2 linked regions of the Xenopus tropicalis genome follow. The protein of the gene in region 1 interacts with the protein of each later gene in a biochemical or structural test. Links are inferred from orthologs where the notes say so. Each region holds a gene or a part of one and is shown on either strand. Other genes may lie near its edges. The genes, in order: pias4 and top2a.

Region 1 (3,750 bases):
TTTTGACGCAAACATGATTCTCTTTAGCCTTTACACAACTTTATTTGCATATGCAAACGCTCATGGACCTGTGGTTTTCCAGATAAGGGGCCTTTCCGTAATTTTACACACTATACATTAAGCCAACTAAAAAAAACATTTAAACATTAAACAGGATTGTTTTACCTCTAATAAAGACTGAATTATAGCTTAGATCAAGTACAAGGTATTGTTTTATTATTACACACACAAAAAAAATCCTTTTAAAATTTTCAATTATTTGATTAAAGGAGAAGGAAAGTCATTTTGGCATTTTACTGCCAATAGATTTGCCACATAGAACCTAGAACACTATATTTATTCTGCAGAAAGCATTACTATACCTGAATAAACAGCTTTAGAAGCTTTCTCCCTTTGCTTAAGACAGCAGCTGCCATTTAAAGTAGCTTCCTTCCTGCAGTCTAGCCATTATAGTTCAGAACACACATTCCTAATGGAGGGGGGAGGGAGTGCTAGAGCATTCTGGTGGGAGGGGGGAGGAGAGTGAAGAAAGAAGAGAGCTGCTCAGACTATGGCCCTGGGAATTAAGGATGTTTCTGAGAGAGGAAGTCAGACACTGGAACATCATGTTTACAAAAAGAGAGACAAGAAATCCTGTGTTCCTTTTGATGCAGCATTATTGTAAGTTCTTAAGACTGTATTAACATAGACCTTTCTGATAAAGCTCACTTAGTTTTTACCTTTCCTTCTCCTTTAAAATGTGTATTGGAAATGGGCTTTCTGTATTTTGGAACTTTTTGGATAAAGGGTGTCCAGATAAAATATTGTAATGACAAGTTTCAAAAATTCAGTTATCTGGACACCCTTTATCCAAAGTGGGCTTGCAAACAGTTGAGGCAGGTGCCTAGTGCTTTTTTTTTTAAAGAAAATATTGTAATGACAAGTTTCAAAAATTCAGTTTAAAAAAAAAAAAAAAAAAAAGCACTAGGCACCTGCCTCAACTGTTTGCAAGCCCACTGGTTTGGGTAGACCAAGGTAGTCATGCTAGACAGAGAAGTTCTGGGTAGCCATGCAAGATGCTAAGACACATAAGGTGGCCAGGCAACAAGTAGTGCTGGGTGGGGTTGACCACTCAAGGCAACAAGAGGACTGGGATAAGGTGAGGCGAGGGGGATGAGCAGGGACAGCAGTCATCACTAAAAGGACTAGTAATTTGTCAAAAAGTGAATAAAAAATGTTTTTACATTCAAAAAGTTTGCATCTTTTGATCCAGAACCTACAAATTTCTTACATTTTTTTCTATAAGAAAGCTTTTTTCAGTCTTGAATAGCATCTGAACCACTTATCTTCCTGTGTAAGAACTAAATCTATTCTTCTTGTCCTTATCCTTGTATTCTACAGAGCTGATCAGGTATGCAAACTGTGCCTTTTCTCCTTTTTCAGCATTTAAATGGCTGTCCCTTTGGCTAGCTACACAGCAGTTTTTATATAAACTAAGGTACTCTTTCTGAAACATCTTTACCAGTGTATGGCAACAGTACATTATATTTTAATTGCTTTAAAACACTTTAGTGTTCCATTAACAGGATACAGGACAACAGAGAAAATTAGTTTTTACATTTGCCACATTAAACCAGAGATTCCCAGTGGAATCACTATGGCCATTATATTGTAGATTCAGTAGGTTCATTGCTTTCACACCCACAACTGTATTTTACCAAAAAAAGGTCACACATGCCTTTGAGGGGAATGTAGCATCTTCCCCTGCCAACACTATTGCTAAAGCAACCCTGACTGTAAGGTGGCCTTGGTCATCGGCAACTGCAGTCTCTGTAAATACCAACTTCAAGTAGATAGAAGTTCACTGGTTAAATAAGATCCCAATATCTTTAGGGTTTTTAGAAACGTCATTTTTTTGAAAATTAAATGTAGAAAAGAGAGGTATGTGTAGGTTATTATAAGAAAGATGCAGTATGAGTACAGTGCAATGTAAAGAAGAAAAATAAAAATCTAAGTAGTCAAAAGTGGTTCCAGACCCATAAATACTCACCTTGCCATAATTACCCCAAGTGACTGTGACTCGGTTGCTAGCAGATGAGAGATACATGAGGTTTGTTAGGTTAATGGGACGACATGGTCTTTTAGGTTCCACACCAGGTTTATTTGAAGGGTAGTATCCCTAAGATTTATAAAAAAAAAAAAAAGGGGGGGGGGCATAGCATCACTAATTGCACTTATTAGGATGGATGGATGTAATAAAAATTCAACAAAATTTACAGTTCTTAACTTACCGGAACAGAGCAGTAATTATGATTAACCTTCACAGCAACATTGGGAGGATATTGATCTTCCTGTGGACAGCTCGTGTCTGTGTAACAAATCCTGGTGTAGAAAAATAATTTACAATACGTTACCATTTATTTATCATAACTAAAAAACAAGTCTGAAGAAGGGCATCGTCAAGATGTGGTAAATACACCTTCTAGCAAAATATGAAAATACAGCACTGAACCTGAATGAGACCTTAATCCTCATGGTTTATGATAGAGATATTATACATATAGAAATAGCCAAGAGCCATGCATTTCCTGCTGTAAATTATATCCTTATAAACAGTGCTTAGTGATGTAATTTCGGTCACATGACTCACTAACTCTTGCTTTTATATGGTGATATTTTACAGTAGAGGGGACATTATTCACTATATAAAACCATCTAGACCGTGATCCCCAACCAGTGGCTCATGAGCAACATGTTACTCACCAACCCCCTGGATGTTGCTCTCAGTGCCCCCAAACCAAGAAGTTATTTTTGAATTCCTGGCTTGGTGGCAAGTTTTCGTTGAATAAAAACGATTTACTACTAAAAAGATTTACTACCAAATAAAGCCTCCTGTAAGCCAAGTGACTTTGCCTTTCCTTCTCCTTCAAGTCTAAAATTTAGTTTTTAGGTATATGCTCCGGTGCCTTACCTTAGAACAACTTGAACAGATTTGGTTCCAGGGTGCAAATCCCTAGAAGGGAGAAACGCAGACAATGTCAGATGCAAAATAAATAATATAATGGTTAGACAGATTTGTATGATTTTTGATAAGGTGGAAAAACAATATACTGAAGTGTAGTCATACACAATTATTTACAGATATCACTGCTCACTGGACATCTACTTGGATGAATGTATGCAGTGTTGCTATAACTTCTCTTCGTTAAAAACATTTAACATTCTAAAAAAAACTGTTTACATTAATATTTTACATTTCAGAAACAATGTATATGGGGTGCAATTTATTAGATAGCGCCTTAGTGGGTAGCCTGCTAGGCCTGGCAGGCACTCTTAAAAACAAAAAAAAAAAAAAGTTTTCCGATTTTGAATGCACGTTGTCCTACCGGCGATTTACAGGAGATTAGTTGCCACTGCTAGAGCAGATTAATAGTGGGGTGACGACTTATCTCCTTGTGCGTCCCTGGCCTTAAGAATTTTAACTTAACCGGTTGGTGAGGCTTAACTAACTAACCCTAGTCACTACTGCAGCGTGACTAATTTTCTCGTGTTTCACTGGTCTAAGGAAAAAAAAAAATGTAAAAAAAAAAAGGTGGACTACATCTTTATAAAGAATGCCATTACCTGGAGTTCTTGATCAAGTCCACTTGCCTTGGGGACAGGACGAAAACACATGGACTGTCTTGCAACTTTTCATTGTTCTGAGCAACTGAATAAAAACAATAAAAACAAAAAAAACAAGAAAAAAATCCATGTGTTTATTTTATATAC
Region 2 (3,824 bases), on another chromosome or scaffold:
CTTTCAATCTTTTTAGCCTTCCTGTTAAATAAGTTAAACCATTTTAGACAAAACATCAAATCTTACAGAAAAACAGCCTTTAAATCAGGGGTCACCAACTCTGTATGTTTGCAATTCTGTTACTTTTTTTTTTAAGTTTTTAAATCACTCCCCTATAGATATTTCAGCCTCATTCAAGTTCCTAGCTGGTTGCCAGAGTAAAAGTGCATGTTGTCTGTATAATACTAACATTTAGAATCTACCAATTTCCATCAGGATGCCAGTAAGGTAGTTTCCAATCACATAGTTTTTTAGTAAGCAGCATTATATGCTGGAAACAAAATTGTCACCAAGAAATGGCTTAAGTTGATTTGTACCTAAAGGGAGGGGAGAGTACTCACTTGGGCGCAGCTCTGGGCTTTTTGGCTGGCTTTGCAACTACAAAGGATTCATCTTCTGAATCAGATTTTGGGTTGAAATCACTGAATTCACTGTCACTCTTCTCCTGAGGCATCTTTATGCCACTTCCCTCTTCTTCACCGTCTTCATCAGAGCTCAACATATAGTTCACTTTAGCTAAAAGCAAATAAAAGCATTTGTTATCAAGCAGAACCCTTTTATGTGGTAACACATTCCATAGCAGGCCTAGGCAACTATCAGTAAATGAATGAATGAATGATGAAACAATGAAGAGGCTCTAAAATCAAACAAAAAAACACCCAGCATCTTATTACCTGTGATAAGGAAATTTATGTACTTGCGGTTAAATCCTTTTCTCTCCAGTCTTAAAGGAACAGTAACACCAAAAAATGAAAGTGTATAAAAATAATTACGATATTATGTACTGTTGCCCTGTGTTGGTACAGCTGATGTGTTTGCCTCAGAAAGACTACTATAGTTTATATACAGAATGCTGCTGTGTAGCCATGGTGGCAGCCATTCAAAGGAGAAAAGGCACAGGCACATAGCAGATAACAGATAAAGTCCCATTATATTCTACAGAGCTTATCGGTTATCTGCTATGTAACCTGTGCCTTTTCTCCTTTTTTACAGGTTGAATGGCTGCCCCCATGGCCACACAGCAGCTTATTTATATAAGCTATATTACTGTTACTTTAGCAAATACACAACTTTACCTGTGCAGGGTAACTGTACATTATATTTTAAATACTTTAATACACTTTCATTTTTGGCGTTACTGTTCCTTTAAGGTGGCCATACACGAGCAGATCTGCTCGCTTGGCGATGTCGCCAAGCGAGCGGATCTTCCCCCGATATCCCCACCTACGGGTGGGCGATATCGGGGAGCATTTAGGTAAAAAAAAAAAAATCAGATAGTTTGGCCCTGGGGCCAAACGATCGGATTATGTGGGCGGCAATGGGGCAGTCGGATCGGGGACCGCATCAACGAGCCAATGCGGTCCCCGATCCGACCGGATTTTCTAACCTGGCCGATCGAGATCTGGCCAATTTCAGGCCAGATATCGGTCGGCCAGGCCGCTCTGCTCTCCCCATACACGGGCCGATTAGCTGCCGAATCGGTCCAAGGGACCGATATCGGCAGCTATAGTCGGCCCGTGTATGGGGACCTTTAAGGGGGACACAGGGGCCGTGGGGTAAAGGGCCCCTCCCATCAGGAGGCAGGACACTGAAGAACAGAGTTGAGGACCCTCCTCCTCCTCTCCCTTTATCCCCTCTCAACCCAGAAGGGATTCAGTTTGTAACAAAGAATTAACTCATAGCCGAACTACAACTCCCAACAAGACTGAGGATAACTAAAACAAGAGTTCAGGGAGGGAAGCACTGTGTCCCCCTTACGACTGGAGAGAAAAGGATTTAACCGTAAGTACATAAATTTCCTTTTCTCCCACGTCTAGGGGGACACAGGGACCGTGGGGACGTACCAAAGCCACCCCACATTAGGGAGGGAGAACTCTGCCCGTTTAGGAAACTACTGCCTGGAGCACCTTCCTTCCGAAGGCTGCCTCCGCCGACAGGTAAGTGTTGAATTGATAAAATCTGGTGAAAGTGTGAAGAGAGGACCAAGTAGCCGCTCTGCAAACTTGCTCAGTCGATGCAAGGTTCCGGTGTGCCCATGATGTTCCCAGAGCTCTAGTAGAGTGTGCTCTGATCTTGATTGGTGGTACCTTCCTCTGTGTCAGGTAGGCTCGTCTCACTGTCTCTTATCCATCGCGCTATAGTGAGTGGTTTTCGTGGCTGGGAGACCTTTTCTTGCTCCTGACGGAATCACAAACAGTGTATCTGTCTGTCTAAAAACTCGAGTGTGAGAGATCTATGTCTGACCACGTCCAGGCGATGTTAACTCTTCTCCTTGTCGTTCTTAGGACTACTGCAGAAGGAAGGCAAAACAATCTTGGTGTTTATGTGGAATGAGGATACCACCTTGGGCAGAAAATCGGGGGTTGTCCGAAGTACCGCCCTATCTTCATGTAGGATTAGAAATCATTCTGAGCAGGATAAAGCCCCCAGCTCTGGCACTCTTCTGGCGGAGGCTATGGCGACTAGAAAAACTGTTTTCCAAGTGAGGAATTCTACTCCCACTTCCATCAGTGGCTCAAAGAGGCTGTCAAGGAGGGCGTTCAGAACCAGGTTAAGATCCCACAGAGGTATAGGGTGTCTGAACGGAGGAGAAATGTGAGCCTGAAGGAACTTGCAAACATCCTCCGAAAGGGCTATGCGCTCCTGGAATAGGATTGATAGAGCCGAGACCTGCGTCTTTAGGGAGCCCAGACGGAATCCTTTCTGAAGGCCTGCCTGGAGGAATTGTAGGATTCGAGGAACACTGAATTCCATGAACGAGATCTCCTCATCCTCACACCACCGTCGGTAGCACTCCCACACCCGGTGATAGATCTTTGACATTACCGGCTTTCGGGCCCTAATCATGGTCATGATTACGTCTTCCGAAAATCCCTTCTCTCTCAGTACTGACGCCTCAAGAGCCATCCCGTTAAGACAAAGAGGTGGGGCTTGTGATGGAAGAGAGGAACCTGGGACAGAAGTTGTGGGAATACTGGAAGTTCTACTGGAGGTTCTAATGACATCTCTAGAAGACTGGAGTACCAGGATCTCCTGGGCCAACGTGGTACAACGAGAATTACCGTAGCCGGTACCGTTGCTATCTTCCTCAGTACGCGTGGTAACATTGGGGGGGGTGGGAACACATATGCCAGTCGAAATTGCCATGGGATGGTCATGGCGTCTACCCCTTCCGCCAGGGGATCGCGGTACCTCGCATAGAATCTGGGTACCCTTCGATTGTGCCTGGAGGCCATGAGGTCGATTTCTGGCACTCCCCATTTCTGTGTCAGGCAGAGAAAGCCGTCCTGGTGTAGTTGCCACTCTCCTGGATCCAGATGTCTGCTGAGAAAGTCGGCCTCTACGTTGCTCACTCCTGGAATGTGAATTGCGGATATTTGGGTGGCCGTCCTTTCCGCCCACTCTAGGATGAAGGTCACTTCCTGGTTTGCCCTGCTGCTTCTTGTGCCGCCCTGTCGATTTATATATGCCACTGCTGTGGCATTGTCCGACTGAATTCAAACTGCCTGGTTTCTCAGGAGATGTTCCCATGACTGGAGTGCCCGAAGTATGGCTCTTAATTCCACTATGTTTATTGGAAGACTGTTTTTTTCCCTTGTCCAAATTCCCTGTGCGGCTCTTCCCTGAAACGTTGCCCCCATCCGGTGAGGCTGGCGTCCGTGGTTACGATTAACCACGCTGGTTCCAGGAAGCTCCTTCCCTGTGTTAGCCGTTCTTGTGTTAGCCACCAGGTTAGCGAGCTCACAATGTTTTCTGGTAGGGTTATTCTCTAATGAAGGGTTGTC

Evidence for each region.
Region 2: of the proteins of pias4 (region 1) and top2a, one has a biochemical effect on the other in vitro, tested with the Homo sapiens proteins (2 studies listed by BioGRID). The link is inferred for Xenopus tropicalis from reciprocal best matches to the Homo sapiens genes PIAS4 and TOP2A.

What each region holds. Positions count from the first base shown.
Region 1 is NC_030677.2:93,058,344-93,062,093, forward strand, and holds part of pias4 (E3 SUMO-protein ligase PIAS4), read right to left. Parts: intron 3,689-3,750; coding exon 3,604-3,688; intron 2,993-3,603; coding exon 2,951-2,992; intron 2,362-2,950; coding exon 2,271-2,361; intron 2,159-2,270; coding exon 2,030-2,158; intron 1-2,029.
Region 2 is NC_030686.2:8,643,565-8,647,388, reverse strand, and holds part of top2a (DNA topoisomerase 2-alpha), read right to left. Parts: intron 556-3,824; coding exon 381-555; intron 22-380; coding exon 1-21. UniProt on the Homo sapiens protein: Key decatenating enzyme that alters DNA topology by binding to two double-stranded DNA molecules, generating a double-stranded break in one of the strands, passing the intact strand through the broken strand, and religating the broken strand.